Linked DNA regions of Bombyx mori. The main gene of each other region encodes a partner of the protein of the gene in region 3 in a complex. Links are inferred from orthologs where the notes say so. Each region holds a gene or a part of one and is shown on either strand. Other genes may lie near its edges. The genes, in order: trafficking protein particle complex subunit 11, trafficking protein particle complex subunit 12 and trafficking protein particle complex subunit 8.

Region 1 (6,595 bases), on a different chromosome or scaffold from region 3:
AGTCGCACAGATGCTCTCAACTATGTTGTATTACAAACGATTTTTCCCATACTACGTATCCAACGTGTTGGCGGGTTTGGACAGCGACGGTAAGGGATGTGTATATAGTTACGACCCTATCGGACACTGTGCGCGCCATAACTTCCGCGCTGGTGGTTCCGCTGCTGCACAGCTGCAACCGCTCCTCGACAATCAAATTGGCTTAAAGAATATGCAGAATGTAACAGAAGCTCCTTTGCCTAGGGAAAAGGCCCTTGCTCTTCTGAAGGATGTGTTCATCAGTGCTGCAGAACGTGACATTTACACTGGAGACTCCATCTACATTCTCATCATCACTGCAAGTGGTATTCAAGAAGAGAAATTTGAACTTCGCAAAGATTAATTTGTTACAAAAAAAAGTAATAAATATTTCATACAAGAAAATAATTTTGTTACTTATATTTCTGAATAAAAACTCATTTATAACAAATAACAAAATTTATTTATTTTTAATTATAAGGTAACTTTATTAGATCTAAAAATTTGTTCAATTATATACAGTTATTAACTCAACATTGTAATTGCAATTTACATTCTGATTTAATTATTGTACTTAGGCACAACGAAAATAGTTTCAGGGAAAGCTTTTTCAAACATTTCACTGACTGCATCCTGACTTGAATTATCACCTATGACTGTTGCAGTAATTCTAGGGGGCATTGTGTTACCAGCAAATAAGGGACGGATATTATATTTTAGCTCTACTTGTCCCTTGGGTGGGACCATTACTGATAGTTTCTTGTATCCAGAAAATATATAGTCATCTGTCCATTTCACTACAAGACTGAGTCTTATTGGAGTGTTTGTGTTTCCTTTTAAAATACATTTGAGTGGAACTGATGTTAGTAGTTCTATTACAGCAGGGTAGTCTACTTTCACTGAGACAGGACATTGATCTATAGGCAGTCCTGATAAAGCAGTGCTGCTCATCACACAGAGCCCATGAAGATTAGATTTCCGTCGCCAAGTTATGTTGTACAAACCAACTCGAGTTGGATTATCTTTAGGATTGTATTTAGCTTGAATACAAATTGCATCTGAAGCTATGTTTTTCTCTGCCACTTCTAGATTTCTGATGCAGGATATAGGCTTAGTTTTGTCTGTATTTTTAAATGAATCGACCACCTCTAATTCTGTGTCAATTATTAAAAGATCCCAAGGACTTAAAATTTTAATTTGTGGCATGACAATAAAGGGGTCATCAACAAAGCATTTAGAAATAGGACTAAAGTCTGTACTAACAAATGCACTGGTTACTTCAAAAGGTTTGATGACAGTTATTTTACATGTAAAATCTTTCATGCACTCTAGTTTCTTGATTGCAGGAAGGTCTATGATGTATGATATTCTAATTTGAACTGTTATTGTGGCTGTTCTGTTTGTTTTTAAGTAGAATGTATTAGTGTGAGTTCCTGATCTGTTAACATTGCCCACAGAAATATGTAAAGGTTGTAACTGAGCTTCACCTTCCTTCAAACTTAAATCTGTTACTGACTCAGGGTTAGGATTTTCAGGTGAACTTAATAAAGATAATGCTATCTTTGTACTAGATACAGCAATTTCCTCATTGTTTGTTACTGTGAAAGTGGTTGGAAACCATTCTCCCTGTAGAGCAGGACTACAATTTGTAACTTCAATGGACCATTTACACTCTCTTGATGTTACTGAAGCTACTCTCAAAGGCACAATGCAATCAAATTCATAGTCAGATTTAGGGCTCATGATGAAGTGTAACAATTCTGGATGTATAATTGACTCTGACTTCTTGTCATCAGTTTTAAAATTCAATATAATTTTTCTTTTCCTTTCAGAATCAAGAACAAAAGATACACATTTTATCTGTAAATCTGATCCAACATCCTTGGGATTAGGTTTGAACTGACACAAAAACCTTTTCACTTTGCTCCCTTCTAATGTTATGGTCTGATTAATATCATCAGTTACTGGGATCTCAATAGTCTCAGATTGACTTGATATTGTCAAATACACCTTCTTTACTTCTAGGACAGCTGGATATGTTAGCCTAACATACAGTTCCACTTCAATTAACTCATCCATTCTATATTTCATCTGTTTGAATTTAGGTTTGATTTCCAAAAAACTGGAGATGTTGGCCATATCCACAGCAACCTGCAAAGGCTCTTTTTCGATCATGGACTGCCACAATTCCACAGCTTTGCTTTGAGAAGAGGATGGCAGGTCGGGTTCAGGAGCTGGAATGTTTAAATGTATAACAGACATTATATTTCTGAATATCCTATCTTTATCATTGTTTGGCACCTGGATATTTTTAGAGAGTGCTTCAATTGACAGCTGTAAATAGTCTTGTATTTTTGCTGCAAGGTATGCACACTGCAGAGCTCTGTTCAAGACATGTGAAGCTAAATACCACCATTTTTCTCTCCTGTAATCCCACAACATGTGAGTCAGCAAAGTTAGTGCTTTCCCATAGTCAGCAGAATAAAAATATTCATTTGCCATTTCAACTACTAGTTGCTTCCTCATTCTAGGAGAGTGAAATGACTTAAACTGTGAGATAGCACTGCCAAGGAAGCTGATGATGATTGTAGAATGATTGAATATCCTTTCATTGTATTGTAGAGCTAAGATAGCTGCCTGTTCTTTTTGAGGGTCATGAGGATCTGCACTTAAACGACCAGGTCTCCAAGGTCGCTGACCATAATATTCTAGAATACCATCTAAAGGATCTGGAGCAGGTGGATACTGTAATGCTTCAGCACAAAGAGAGCGCATAGCCTGTCTTCTTTTTACAGTAAACTGAGCTGCATGCTGGTAGTAAAACCCAGGATGCTGAGATTGAATGGCTGGCAGACCAGCCCTGATAGCTTCATCAAAAAGTTCTCCAAAGGCACTGTACTGTCTAGCTAGCCACGCATAATGTTCAAACAGTAGGTCAGTAGAACCAACTCTACTTTTGTATTTCTCAATGTGAGATTTTAATTGTGAAATTGCATCTCTTGGCAAATTTAATGCAAAAAGTATCTTGCACAGTTTGTAGTTAATATAGCCAGCAACTGTTCTAACTTCATGCAGGTTTGTATCTACTGTTCTTGTTTCCAGCAGGTTGTTGTAAGCATGAACATAATGCTTATGTGCAGTATTGATGTCCTGCTTCAACTCATTCAGATAGCCCAGTTTGAACTGATGTCTGACAAAGAGATACTGATGTGTTGTTTTATTGAGGTGGTCTCTGTGCTGCTTAATGTTTTTTGCTTCATGGTGGTAATAATTTTGTGCAATATCATAAAATGCATTTTCTAACCGGACTATATAACCCATTAAGTGATCACCATGAGGAAGCACAAACAAGGATTTAGACTGGATCTCACAAGCAGCACAAAGTGCCTGGGCACGCTCGGCTCCAAGCATGTACTCAGAAGGAGGAGGAGATTGCCGACTTTGTATGACTACTACAGCCACACGAGTAGCATGTCCCTCTACTGCAGCACGGATAGACTGGACTTTGGATGCACATTCTATAATTTTCTCATTCCACTGTGTATCATTCCAATCCATATCATAGAAAATGACTATGACAGCGGGTATTAGCGATACACGCTTGTGTATCCAGTTTTTTTTTAGTATGCCTTTAGGTATGTACCATTCGTATGAATTTCTCTTAGGCTTTACCACTGGAAACTCAAACGTATTGTTAAGTAATTTGAATCTCACAGGCGTGCGATCAGCGCGTCGGTTATTCGCGAATGCGTCCCAGATTTCTTTGTGAACGGCATTGTTAACTGCATCAAGTCCAGATAGTCCTATCAGAGCCAGAGGTTTCAGAATGATCTCCGTAGGGAATTCGGTATAATCATTAGGCTGGGTAGCCATTTTATATGAGCTTAATCATGCAGTAGTATAGCACACTTTAACTTCTAAATACTATTTTAAACATCTCAAATATCACGGTGAACACAAATTCAGATTCTTCTACACGACAGTGACACCCCCATCATTCGTTTCACAAATTTTTAACGTAAAACGTCAGGGAGTAATGTCAAAAGTAAAATTGAAAGCTTTGCTTTGACGTCTGACGTTTTAGAAAGATTTAGTATGTAAGTCGTAAATAGCAGTAGCCATAGAAAAAAATGTACCTGAGGGAGCTCATATAGAGTCCCTTCTTTATTTCGCCTGGTTGTGTTTTATGTAATTAACACCACAGTTGGAACAATATTAATTTTATTGTTGTAGCGGCATAAAGTAATTACATTAAATTAGTTATTTAACTCATTATAAATTATTTTTATGTTTTTCATATTTGGCGGTAAAAAAGGTATTGTGGCACAGACTATCTCCTTTTTCCCACATCTCGTGCGTTCCGGCTTACGCATAATAAAACGCCACACCACCCCCCTACGGAGAAGGAGAATCCGCAGAAAAAGAGAAAAATTATCATAGGTCGAAAGGTTTGGAGAAGTGGACTCTGCGACCTGACCGGGTGGTATATTGAGGTGTATGTGTAGGAGTAGCAGTTAGAGGTGCCGAAGGCACGAGTGGACATGAAGGGACATTAGTAGCATCCGGTTGCGCTGGTTGAGGCACAGAAACCCGCGGTGCTGGGGCTGGAACGAGATCTACTAAAGAATGCTCGACGAAAGCTGGCTTAATTCTGTCGACACTGACCGTCACCTGTTTCCCTTTTACATCAATCGACCACGTTTTTCCGTCCTCGGCTCTAGATATAACTCTATGAGGACCAGAGTAAGGTGGTTGCATTGAACGTCTAACCGAATCCTCCCTGAGCATGACATGAGAGGCGGTGGAAAGATTTTTAAATATGAAAGGTGATGGTTTAGTGTGTGAGGAACATGGAGTGGGACGCAATTTAGACATACGCTGTCTTAACTTTACGACAAAATCCGTCGGGTCCTCGAAACCAGAAGGACCGGGAGGTACTAACAGTTCCCCTGGAAGCGTTAATGTTTCTCCGTAAAGCAATTCCGCTACTGTTGCTTGTAGATCTTCTTTAAAAGCTGAACGCATTCCTAATAAGACCAAAGGTAATGCATTCAACCACGAATCATCATAACACATCAGAGAGGCCTTTAATTGTCTATGCATGCGCTCCACGAGCCCATTGGCACAAGGGTGGTAACTAGTAGTGCGTATACGTTTAGTACCACATAAATTAGTAAGGCGTCTGAAAAGGTCCGACTCGAACTGTCGTCCCTGGTCGGTAGTGATGACAGCAGGTACTCCGAATCGAGCAATCCAACCGGCTACAAAGGTGCTCGCCACTTCTTCTGCTGTTATTCCGTGCATAGGCCAAACTTCGGGCCATCGAGTGTAGCGATCCACAGCAGTCAGGCAGTATTGGAAGTCAGAACAAGATGGAAGAGGGCCTATGATGTCAATATGGACATGCTTCAGTCGAGACGTAGGACTGGAGAAGTGTCCAAGTGGAGATTTTATATGCCGCGTCACCTTACTTCGCTGGCAAGCAACGCAGGTTTGGCACCAATAACGGCAATCTTTGGCAATGCCAGGCCACACGAAACGGTCTGAGATCAATCGAATGGTTGATCTAGTACCAGGATGGCTAAGATTATGTAGCTGAGCAAAAATCTTCTTTCGCATAGGTTCCGATACAAATGGGCGTGGTCGCCCTGTTGACATGTCGCAGACCAAAACAGTGTTTGTGCCAGGAACTACGACGTTCTCTAGTTTTAGAGAAGAATTCGCATCGTTACGATACTTTTTCAATTCGTCGTCAAGTTTTTGGCAAGCGGAGAGAGCAGAATGGTCAGTTTCAAAACTAACAGCTTCGATGCGGGACATGGCGTCTGCCACCGTATTGTCCACCCCTTTTATATGGACAATGTCCGTGGTAAACTGCGAAATAAAAGACAGTTGATTTAACTGTACCGGAGGAAGCCTTTCGCGACGTTGCGAGAACGCGTAAACTAATGGCTTATGGTCCGTATAAATCGTTACGTGCTGTGCGGCTAGGAAGTGTCGATAATGTTGCACACTCTCATATACCGCAAGAAGTTCTCGGTAGTATGCTGGCCACTGGCACTGTCGGGGGTTCAGCTTTTTATTAAAGAAACCCAGGGGTTGCCAAGCATCATCGACTTTCTGCTGAAGGCAGGCACCAACGTGAGAACTGGAAGCGTCGGTGAAAAGCCCTAGTACAGCGTTAGGCAAAGGGTGTGCCAACAGAGCTGCAGATGACAAGCTATCTTTACAGGCATTAAAGCATTCTTCGAGCTCAGGTGTCCAAGTGATCGGTGTGAGACCTTTACCTCCAGTGGCCACGATCGCGTTGACTAGCGGTGCTTGTAACTTGGCCGCATTGCGCAGAAATCGATGATAATAATTAACCATCCCAATGAAACGACGGAGTCCTTGTACAGTCTGTGGTAGAGGAAAATCTTTTAGAGCTTGAATGCGCTCTGATGGTGGTTGTGTTCCGTCGGCAGATATTCTGTTTCCGAGAAAAGTAACTTCGGGAGCACCAAACACGCATTTTGCTGGATTTATAACGATTCCGTAATCTTCAAATCGCTTGAAAAGAGTACGAAGGTGTGCAGCA
Region 2 (5,854 bases), on a different chromosome or scaffold from region 3:
TACCGAATTTATACGATGTCAAGAAAAGTGATGTCCCATATGCGTGTTTGAGGATGTTGTTTCATCGACTTTTTTTTCAATTTTATTAAAATATAAATAAAAAAAAACATTAATAAAAATAAAGTATAACTTCTTACGCGCGTACATAAGTACATGCATTCTTTTTTTCCCTACCCAAGCTGATAGATAACCTTGAGAGGCTATTTCAGCGTAACCTTAACTAGTAGGTGAGCTCACGGGGCTCAAACCTGATGACGTTGCTAACACGAACCCTAGCAAGAGCCGTGCTTCGCAGAATCTACCACCGGATCGGAAACGCGACCCACTGAGAAGATCCGGCGAGAAACTCAGTGGGCTGTGTCTGTGGGTTAATTTACTAGGTTGAGGTACCTAAAAGCACCGTTAGTAGATCGGGAGGATCCGAAACGACGTGTTTTGGGCGACGTCGACTGCTTTCCATTCTGTCCGCAGGATCGGGAATGCAAGGACTACTACAGTGTGGCAACAGTGAAGCAATCACTCAAGTAACATGTTCACGGGTGCTCACGAACGGTAGAGTTTAAGAACGAGCCGCACCATAATGTTCGTGGGTTCCTGGTCGGCCGCCCTCACGAAGTCGTTGTAGGCGTCTTCGTACTTCCCCTGAGCCATCGCCACCAGCCCGAGGTCCACGTACTCGCGCACGTCGGGCGTCGGACATCTGCAGACATCGCAACCCACCATCAGCGTGACCCCGCCACCCCGGAGAGTCCATACACATCAATTACTGGTGATAGGACCTCTTGCGAGTCCGTGCGGCTAGGTACCACCACCCCGCCTATTTCTGCCGTGAAGCAGTGATTTCGGTTTGAAGGGCGGAGCAGCCGTTGCAACTATACTGAGACCTTAGAACTTATATCTCAAGATGTCTATGGCCTCCATTAACCACTTAACACCAGGTGAGCTGTGAGCTCGTCTACCCATCTAATCAATAAATAAAAAAACATGACGAGACGGTCAGTCTTAATATCAAATCGGAACGCACGTCGGCTTCGCGGCAGAGATAGGCAGCGTGGACGTACCTACCCGCGCGAACCAATAAATAACAACAGAAAGTAAAGTACAATTAGTGTTTGTCTATATGTTCCGGGCATGACGTGGGAGGAGTTAGAACAGACTGCCCAAGACCGATACAAATGGAAAAATTTGATTCGAGCCCTACACCCCAGCAGAGGGTAATAGGAAAGCATGATGATGATGATATGTTCCGGGTGGTCAGAGATGCTATGTTTATGGGTTCCTGTAACCGCTTTACAGCATGAGGACTGTGAGCTTGATCACATCTCTATGCAATAAAAAATATTTTTTTTTTAGAAAAAACAATTACGTGACCATATATTATGTGAGATTAAGTAAATAACAGTCTTTTGGAAAAGTAGCAAAATTTCATAAATTAGCACACGTCGTAAAACGTTCATACCTCTAATGCCCGATCGCCATCTTGAACTTCTCTCTTCCGTCCCTTTCTTCCTCATACATTCATCCCTTTCACTCTAAACGTTCCGTTTCCCACATATATCGTCTTCTCGCATTAAAACAGTATAATCTCAAAACTTACTAAATTTTACAGGAGAGTGTTTTAAAGGTTTAACATGTGATATTTTTATAATAATATTAATCATCTTTGCAACATATATTTTTTAGTTTTTACAAGTTACATTATCTGTCTTTTAAAGTAAGATAAGATTATGTATTAATTTTGTTAGTTGTAGTAAAAATATAGATAAACTAAAAAAAAAAAATTAAACTAAACTACGTTCTTTTGACAATATTTATGAGAAAAATACTGGTGGTGATACCAAATGATTCCCCATATTAACTCAATTTCGAATATTTTTTGAAATTGTACACTTATAATGCGAAAAGACGGTATATGTTATTAGCTCATCGTTGACTGGCCACAAATGACGTCACACATGCCGATGTTGCATTCGGCCGCATTTAACGTTACGATTAACAGTAGCGGGTACTACTGACACGTGCGTCCGGTTCTCGGTGGCGCGGCGGCAGTGCGCACGTGCGGCCGTCACGTGCCCGGCCAGCAGCGCGAGGCGGCATAGCGCGCTGCACACGGCTCGCTTCTGACCGGCCGTGCTGCACGCCTGTTCCAACGAGGACAGCACGTTGGAAGCGTGCCTGTAATCCTGATAAATTCGATTTTTGAAGTGAAACTTCTAACGCGACTTCCAACAAGCTTGCGTTAAACGTTTAACGCCATCATAGAATAGAAAGAGACAGAGTGAGAGTGTTTGTTCCAACGACGACAGCACGTTGGAAGCGTGCTTGTAATCCTAATAAAAAATTCGATTTTCGAAGTGAAACTTCTAATGCGACTTCCAACAAGGTTGCGTTAAACGTTCAACGCTCCTGGGGAGGGGGAATAGAAAGAGACAGAGCGAGAGTGAATGCGCGTAGTATACCTGGTACAGGCCAGCGCGAGCGTTAGCAACGAGTAGCGTCCAATGTTTTAATGAAGTATTTAAAAAAAAGATTTATATATTTTTCTATCTATAATTTAAAATATATATAACATAAATGTTGAAGATGTCGCATCTCTTATACACAGCATTCCCTATTACAAGAGCAATCTGATTTAAGGATGAAAAATGAAGAAAATTACAATACTACACATCGAAAAAGAAGTTTCACTTCATTCACGTGCACCAGGTTGCACGCGCACAATTTTTTTTATTGCTTAAATGTTGCTCACGGCCACCAGGTGTTAAATGGTTACCAGGGTCCATAGACATCTACAACGTAAATGCCGCCACCCGCCTTGAGATATAAGTTCTAAGGTCTCAGTATAGTTACAACGGCTGCCCTACCCTTCAAACCAGGGACCATAGACAGGGTGGTGGTACATACCCGTGCGGACTCACAAGATGCCCTACCACCAGTAAAATTCCTGGTTTTTCAGTCTAAAATTCCATTTCCTTCTATACATTCCCAAATTCGAAGATGTTCTGAAAATCACCGCAGACTGGAGGTCAAGACGCTCCATTCACTTCGGTGCATTCGCCTCGGTGTTCGAGTCCCGCGTCGGCTAACGTTTTTTCGGTTTTTTCCCAAAACATAAATTACCTTCAGGGCTATAGCGCAGTTGACGATCGAATGATACACCCTCGTCTCCCTCCCCATCCACAAACGTATCGACTCCGCCTTATCCTGCTCCGACGAGAGGAGACCAGAGCCGTCCTCGGTCTTTCCGTCGCGGAGATTCGACAGCATCTGAATAAAGATTTTTTTTTTCCTACCTAAGCTGAGAGCCTTGAGAGGCTATTCCAGCGTAACCCTAACTAGTAGGTGAGCTCACGGGGCTCAAACCTGATGACGTTGCTAACACGAACCCTAGCAAGAGCCGTGCTTCGCAGAATCTACCACCGGATCGGAAACGCGACCCACTGAGAAGATCCGACGAGAAACTCAGTGGGCTGTGTCTGAGAGTTTTTTACTCGTCGAGCCCTTCGTCGCAAGCGACGGGTTCGACGAGAACGGTGACCGGTGCTTGAAGTACCTAAAAGCACCGTTAGTGGATCGGGAGGATCCGAGATGACGTGTTTTGGGCGACGTCGACTGCTTTCCATTCTGTCCGCAGGATCGGGAATGTAGTTACCGGCGGCCACGATGAGAGGGTTCTCGTGTCGTGCCGCTTTATCGAAGTGGCGCATGGACGCCGACTGCAGATACTTACTGATGGACTCTAAGTCCAGGTCGTCATGGAGGTCGACGTTCCTGACGAACCACGGGGCTCCGACGGCTATCCTGCAAAAACGGGATTGAATAATTTGGAAGGATTTTAAGTGAGTGCGGGCCGCGTGAGCGAACACTACACTTGCATAGGTCATGACGGGGCGTATGCAAGTTTTGTAGAGTGTCACCTTATTTCTAAGGGACATTTTACTTCGCCTACATATCATCGGGTAGAAATAAAGAAAGGCATTAACTTGGGTTTTTATCCTGTGATATATATGTCATAAGTTTGCATAAGCACTACGAAACAATACTTGATCTGAAGAAGGTTAAAACACACGTCATTACGGATCCTCCCGATCCATTAACGGTGCTTTTAGGTACCACAAGCACCAGTCACCGTCCAAAGTAAATTAACCCACAGACACAGCCCACTTATTAGTTAGTATTAGAAACGTCGTCAGGTTTGAGCCCCGTAAGCTCACCTACACGTCAAAGAGAGAAGCTGAAATAGCCTCTCAAGGTTATCAGCATAGGTAGGGAAAAAAAAGTTACAACATTAATTGTAACAATAAATATTGTTACAATATTTAAAGCATTAGATAAAAACCTGAATCGCGATAACGACATTTACAATTTGCTTGTATAAATACAAGTTCCGAGCGCCTTACGAACGTCAACTGTCAAGCAATGACAGAAGAATATGAATGATCTCAATGATCTTACCTTTGTTAATATTCCAATATAGCGGATTCTCCTCATGTTCACGTTGTGATGACCGTGGACCACATTTACCAATCGGCACAGAGTTTTGACTGCAAGCTTTATCAACACCAGAGCACCAAAAGCTACGAAACCACGACCATCATAAAAACCAACCTGCTGTATAATATCGAGCATCGCGTATAGTCTGTCCATGGACTCGTCCGGCTTGCCCACGTGCCCCGGTATCTCGGCCAGGAGTAGCCTCAGCGAGAAAGGAACGAGGGATCCCGGACGGTTCTCGTAAGACTCCGGGTAGAACTGAAATAAAATTGACCGCATTTTATGCACACGGTTATGATCAGGCTGGGGGTCAAGGGCCAAATACTCGGTAGCCTGGTTTTTACTGGTGGTAGGACCTCTTGTGAGTCCGCGCGGGTAGGCACCACCATCCTGCCTATTTCTGCCGTGAAGCAATAATGCGTTTCGGTTTGAAGGGTGCCGTTGTAACTGTACTGAGACCTTAAAACTTATATCTCAAGATGGATGGCGCATTTACGTTGTAAATGTCTATGGGCTCCGGTAACCACTTAACACCAGGGGGCTGTGAGCTCGTCCACCCATCTAAACAATAAAAAAATCCATGGACTTCAGCAATGCCAAGCTTAGAGCTTAGAGCTTGCTCAAATGGTAATAAATTCTCTGGTGTCCACATTTCGAATTACCTGGTAAAACATGTCGGGTTTGGTGCAGTCGCCGAACTGCTCCGCCTCCCTGATCAGGGGTTCATGTAGCTTGATCCTCAGCATCAGGGAGAACCTCGTCAACCAGAGCTGGAGGGAGCGCGGCGTGTGCTTCGTGGGTCTGTGCATCCGTCCCACGCCTGAGGGACAAGGTGAGATGTGAAGTGAAAGGCTTAATTACTATTGTCATCGCTAGATGGTGCTGCCTGATTCCCAACACGCGCTAACGTCAATTGTTTTTCGTTCGTATTTATAGCATCCATCTCAAAAAATTATCCGAGGTTACAACGTAGATTTCCTATGGAGTTTTTCAAGTGAGGGTCACGATCTGTCGACGGTTCGTGACCCAACGGAGTGAGACAAGTGCCAGGCAGGCAAGTAATGGTATGTTAGCCATTGGCCTATTCCGATTTCCGATCACGAATTCGGTCCTTGAGTCGATCAGTCAGTCTCAAATGGAGATAGGACGCGTAATGAATTTACTAGCATCCTTATTGCATAGATACTAGATAGGCACGAGCTCACAGTCCGCCTAGAGTTAGCTGGTATAGTAACTACCTTAATAGCTGGCACCCGCCCCTTCGGGCATACGCACATGAGAGAAGCTTCCTCCGGTCTCAATAAAATTATTTTCTTGGCGCTGAGGAAATATAGGTACATGATGGCTACGTAAATGCTCA
Region 3 (5,854 bases):
GGATCGGAAACGCGACCCTCTGAGAAGATCCGGCGAGAAACTCAGTGGGCTGTGTCTATGGTTTAATTTACTCGTCGAGCCCTTCGTCGCAAGCGGCGAAGACGGTGACCGGCGCTTGAGGTACCTAAAAGCACCGTTAATGGATCGGGAGGATCCGTAATGACGTGTTTAGGGCCTCAAACCAAACTACACGAAAGAAGGTACCACTGTAAATTAGGAGATCGAGTCAGACACTACCAGAGAAATGTAAGTCAGTGATTGCGGCCTACGACTGCCCGAGTGTCGACTAGTTATTTGTAGTAGATAGTAACTAGCTAACTATCCGCTGATTTGTAAGCGAAGTAAATTGTCCCTTCGTGACTATGAGGGTGAAGGTGACTCTTTACAAAACTTACATAAGTCCGGTCATGACCGCCTATGCAAGTAGTGTTCGCTCAGGCGGCCCGCACTAACTTAAAACCCTTTCAAATTATTCAATCCCGTTTTTTCAGGATAGGCGCCGAAGCACCGTGGTTCGTGCGAAACATGGATCTTCACGATGACCAGGAACTTTGTTCCATCAATAAGTATGTTCAGTCGGCATCAGTACACCATTTCGAAAAAGCGGCGCAGCACGATAACTGTTGTGACCGCCGGTAACTGCATTCCCGATCCTGCGGACCGAACGGTAAACAGTTACCGTCGCCCTATACACGCTACTTCGGATCCTCCGGATCCACTATCGGTGCTTTTAGGGTCCCCCAAAAACCTGTCACCATTGTCGTCGAACCGGTCGTTTGCTAAATAACCTTCGTAATAACTCAATAAAATGTTTTATTATTTAAATTTCTGGCGGTTTCAATTTACCTGCAAGTATTAAGATATGTAACGATGCTTTCTTCTAAATATCCATGAGTTTTACGATTGGAATCACCAGCCATAAAAGCACTTATTGCGGCCATTTCGAGCGCACCCGCGTAACAGAGCCACGCGCTGTCCGCATAGAACTCTCTTTTGGCAGTGTGGTAGGTATCGAAAGCCCGCTGCCATTGCCCGCACAAAAACCAAAGATCGCCCAAACGTCGTAACTGTAGTTCGGGACAGTCATTTGTGTATCTAAAAAAGAAAAACACAAGTGATTAATAGTTAAAATATTTTTATATTTTTCCTCTTTTTTTCAGTCCACAGACATCTACTGCTAAAGATAGGCCCCCTCGTGATAAATACTTTAAAAAAATCAGTGAAATTAAAAACCAAAAATAAATAAGCTTCAAAGAAAATCGAGTACTTACACAACTGCACTATTTCCGGTAGCATTTCCACCTTTACCAGTGCCGAACCATCTTTTTGTAGCAGAGAGAAGCGATCTACTTACTCCTTTTCTGTTGGCTACCTAAATTAATATAACTATTTGTTTAGCATTTGTCGATTTGATTCTTGACTAGGCAACTGTTACTTAATTGTTTATAGTACTTTCGGACTTCCATAAACTTTAACCGGTTTAAAGAGCAGGGCAGCCGTTTCATTAATGTAATTAAGATCTTAATCTCATGCCTCAAGGTTTAAAACGGCATTCACGTTCTGGTGCCTGTGGACCCCAGAAGCAAGTCTGCACATCTTATGTGTAAAGTTACTATGTTCATATAATGAGTATTACTAAAGCTGCTTTTAAGTTAATTGAATTTCTTTGTAATTTATGGGATATAAGTTTGAATCCTTGCAAATAAATTCGAATATAAAGTTTCGCTTGAAATTCGTTCTTTAATAGATTATAGACCAACCACATCATTATCAACACCAACGACCTTTAACTACGGTTACCTTCATTCGCATATATAAAAATATGTTACAAGAATTTCCTGCATGATCAATAAATGATAGATTTTTTTTCTAGAATATTACTAAGGATAAAATATTATTGTTAGTACTGTGAACCTACTGATTCAGATAGCTGGGAGATTTGCTTTTCTATGTACGGCAGCAAGGCTTTTGATGCATATTCTTGAAGGAATTTTTTGATGGCCTCTATATCGTTGTTGTTTAAAGCAGCCCCATGAACTTCAGTAGACAAATCAATTCCTTTTGCGCTGACGCTAACACTCTCTACACTGCCAGAAAACGAATGGGTCTGAAACATTTTCGACGAATCAATTTAGGTGGATATTCAAAATAAGATAAACCTTTGAATAAAACTATATAAATAGGCAAAAAATTGAAGTTTTAGTACATTATTTCATCATTCATTATAATAATGTAAATGTAGTATAATAATATGTTATTTGAAATTTACTCTGCTATAGATCTGAAAATATTGTGCAAAATATGTTGGCATTTTGATTTCGACATAGGTAAAATAAGATAAACATATTAAGATTATAATCTTATAAAATTTTCCACCACACAATTTCACTGGTGGTAGGACCTCTTGTGAGTCCGGGTAGGTACCACCGCCCTGCCTATTTCTGCCGTGAAGCAATAATGCGTTTCGGTCTGAAGGGTAGGGCAACCGCTGTAACTGTACTGAAATCTTAGAACTTATATCTCAAGGTGGGTGGCGCATTTATGTTGTAGTTGTCTATGGGCTCCAGTAACCACTTAATACCAGGTGGGCTATGAGATCGTCCACCCATCTAAGCAATAAAAAAAAAAGTTCTATAAAAGATAAGCACTTCCTAATATTATAAACTTAAATAAAATAAATAGTAGGTATATTTTGTCTTTATGAGTTCCTATACCGTTCATCTAATTGTGGTGTAACTTAGTACCGTCACGGCCGGATTTAGAGGTATGGAGACCTCGGGGCAACAGAGGAACGGCGGCCCCTTGAGCCCCACATTATTTTCCAAACAAAATGAGCGATTTTTTTCAGTCGAATTTTCCAATAAATAATTTATTGTGAAACCACGTAGATTCCCTTAGTATTTAACAAACATACATAAATATAAACGGAGACAAGAGTTATCTGAAATTAAATTTTAGTGTTAACTTTAAGTAAAACAGAGAAAAAAAGTATATCGACGGAGAAAGAAAAGATGTTTACTAGTGTTTACTTGTCGGAATTTGAAAGATTTTTTTTCCAAAGTCTCTATTGCGGGGGCTCTCCGTTTGTGGAGGCCCCGGGACTTTCACCCCGGTTACCCTCCCTTAAATGCAGCCCTGAGTACAGTAGTTGTCGGTAGTTCTAAGAAGGTTATAGAATATCATAGTTCCATTAACGTACGACAGGGGGTGCGTGAATAATTTAACGATAGTCACGGCGGGGCGTGACTGGGTTCTACTAGTATTAATATTATAATAACTTTGTTTTTAACATGTCAACCGTCCATTGAATATATTTACTTTATTTAAGGATAAGAATTTTACTTTGCATTTTAGGATCTCCCCCTACCTGCAAACTGTTGGCATTGTCATAAACATCTGTTTCTGGGCTTGTCAGTGGGTGCACACTCTCTTGTACTGACCCTGTTAATGTGTCTTCACCTTAATAAAACGAGAGCATAATTGTTTCTATTAATTTGATATCTAATTAATAGCTGTTAGTATTGTGTATTGACATAGCAATCTTTTCAAATTTAAACTTTTCGTGTTAATCAAACGTAACTACTATCTGTATTTTGTAATAGAATTATGTTTCCTATAGGTAATTAATTTTAATCCAAAAACTATATTAATATATTTGTGATAGGTATGACAAAATTGTGATATTTTTTGGCTTAGTCGTCATCCGTGACTACGAAAACTGGAAAAGTAAGAAATAATTTTACGACGATAAAAAACGCGAGTTTAAACCGTAGAGGTGGCTCTAATTATGTCTATGACTCACGAAAGGCTCAGCAAATACTGTATTTAAGCCTATTCAATATTTTCCAGATATAAATAAGCGAAACTGAAGCTACTTAAGATCACGTGACTAAAACACTTAGGAGTGTGCCTAGGGCGAGTTTTTTAACGTTTGCCGCTAGGGGCGCTGTTCCAACTCCATACATTGTATATTTGAGTTAACTTTTACGCTATCGAGAACGTTAAAAACTAGCACTAAGTGCACAGAGCACGCGGCGTCACGTTTTGTAGATTTGAAACACCTACAACTTAGACATAAAAACTTATAACCCTAACATTAACCTTAACAAAAAATCGGACAGTTTTAAAAATCGTGCCGTCAACGACAACAACAACCGATTTAAAGGTTGGCTGCGCAAAGAAATATTTGGGAAATAAAATTTACAACTTGTTTGTAATGATTACTATATCTTTGTGTAGTGATATGCTCAAAATTTAAAATCAACACTAACCTCTTTCAATAATGTTTTGAGATGGAAATATAGGGGCTTGTTCTGCTGGCGTTGTTGCTAAATTCGAGAAGATAGAAGCTACGTCACTCTGAAATCGAATACGTAAAGTATACGCAATATACATAATTAACCAAATTACCATGAAATTAATTATATTAATGCTATTATACTGGTAAATCGGTTCAGAAGCTATAACCCTTTTTTTGCATGTTTCGTTTCTACCTCATATCTTAAGGTGGGTGATAGCATTCTCGTTTTGATGTCCTCGGATAACCACTTTCGGATAACCTTGGATAACCACTTTACACCACGTGAGCTGTGAGCTGTTTCATTCAGCTACGCAATGAATAAAGCCGTAACAGTTTGTTTGTAACGCGTTACGCATCGTACCTCTACGATGCAGAAATATATAGACACAGTGCGTCCCTACTTTCCTTTACCTAAGATGAAAACTATGCGCACATTATGCTAGACTGTCGTAAAAGTGAAACTGGGCTTTTTAAGATGACACCTTGCTCACGCTAGGTTGGTTTTGTTACATTAAATAAAGAAAACTATTCTAATATTTTTGTTATAGTATTAAGAAGCTATATTGTCTTTGCATTTAATTCAAATTTATAATTTATATTTGCATTTACCACGTTTCTTTTTGAATATTATAATTTTGTCACACCTAATTCTCATTTATTTGGACACTTTATTTTAATCTAGATAAATAGTAATTTAATTATGTTTTTATTGCCCTGATAGGCAAACGGCCAGACAGCCCATCTGATGATGAGTGGTTACTGTGGCTTATGGACGTTAGCAATCCCAGGGGAAAACCCATGTCACTGCCTACCAAAAATTTTAATTAGTTTCATTCTGTCATAGAAAAATTTACATACGGTGGAATCTGGAGATCTCTTAATATACTGGCTCCATAAATCTGCAGGTACATTAGCATCTGACGTACTTTTAGAATTAATGGGAAGCATAAAACAACTATTAGGTCCAAAAGCATGTTTCAACGTGTCAAACACAGCATCAGCCCTTTAACATAAATAAAATACAATGGCATTAACTTAAATAATTTTCGATATTATGTTTTTTTTTTTATTGCTTTTGTAGGCAGACGGGCATACGGCTGATGGTGAGTGGTTACCGTCGCCCATGGACTTCAGCAATGCCAGGGGCAGAGCCAAGCCGCTGCCTACCGAAACACCTATGTCACATTCCAGCGGCGGAATTCACATTGTGGTGGATTTCAGTAAGAACCTAACATCAGTTGAGCCGCACTCTCATCTGACCATCTATATTATTGACGGAAATAAAGAACATACCTTTCTTTTGAAACAACAGATACATCATGAAGTAGTAAATATGTTTTCAGAATACAATTGTTGAACCATTTAGGCAATTTTGGTGGCATTACATTCTGTAGTTGGGCATATTGTTGATTCAGGCCATTGAAAGTGTCCACAACATTTTCGTCATCAGTTGTTCCCACAATAATACATGACAGGAAATGTTTTGTGAATTCATGGTCAGATGGAAATTGCACATCTAGGTATGTTTCCCTCCAAGCATCAAACCAATGTGTT

Evidence for each region.
Region 1: trafficking protein particle complex subunit 8 (region 3) and trafficking protein particle complex subunit 11 share a complex: the UniProt entries of both Homo sapiens proteins name them as parts of the multisubunit TRAPP (transport protein particle) complex. The link is inferred for Bombyx mori from reciprocal best matches to the Homo sapiens genes TRAPPC8 and TRAPPC11.
Region 2: trafficking protein particle complex subunit 8 (region 3) and trafficking protein particle complex subunit 12 share a complex: the UniProt entries of both Homo sapiens proteins name them as parts of the multisubunit TRAPP (transport protein particle) complex. The link is inferred for Bombyx mori from reciprocal best matches to the Homo sapiens genes TRAPPC8 and TRAPPC12.

The regions. Positions count from the first base shown.
Region 1 is NC_085125.1:14,659,240-14,665,834, reverse strand, and holds trafficking protein particle complex subunit 11, read right to left. Parts: upstream 4,081-6,595; 5' UTR 3,892-4,080; coding exon 580-3,891; 3' UTR 459-579; downstream 1-458. Other genes in the region: proteasome beta subunit, read left to right, coding at 1-382. UniProt on the Homo sapiens protein: Involved in endoplasmic reticulum to Golgi apparatus trafficking at a very early stage.
Region 2 is NC_085126.1:10,492,389-10,498,242, forward strand, and holds part of trafficking protein particle complex subunit 12, read right to left. Parts: intron 5,315-5,854; coding exon 5,157-5,314; intron 4,753-5,156; coding exon 4,609-4,752; intron 3,268-4,608; coding exon 3,121-3,267; intron 2,184-3,120; coding exon 2,017-2,183; intron 701-2,016; coding exon 577-700; intron 1-576. UniProt on the Homo sapiens protein: Component of the TRAPP complex, which is involved in endoplasmic reticulum to Golgi apparatus trafficking at a very early stage.
Region 3 is NC_085111.1:9,717,955-9,723,808, reverse strand, and holds part of trafficking protein particle complex subunit 8, read right to left. Parts: coding exon 5,594-5,854; intron 5,304-5,593; coding exon 5,159-5,303; intron 4,360-5,158; coding exon 4,272-4,359; intron 3,460-4,271; coding exon 3,368-3,459; intron 2,108-3,367; coding exon 1,919-2,107; intron 1,373-1,918; coding exon 1,272-1,372; intron 1,096-1,271; coding exon 847-1,095; intron 1-846. UniProt on the Homo sapiens protein: Plays a role in endoplasmic reticulum to Golgi apparatus trafficking at a very early stage. Maintains together with TBC1D14 the cycling pool of ATG9 required for initiation of autophagy. Involved in collagen secretion.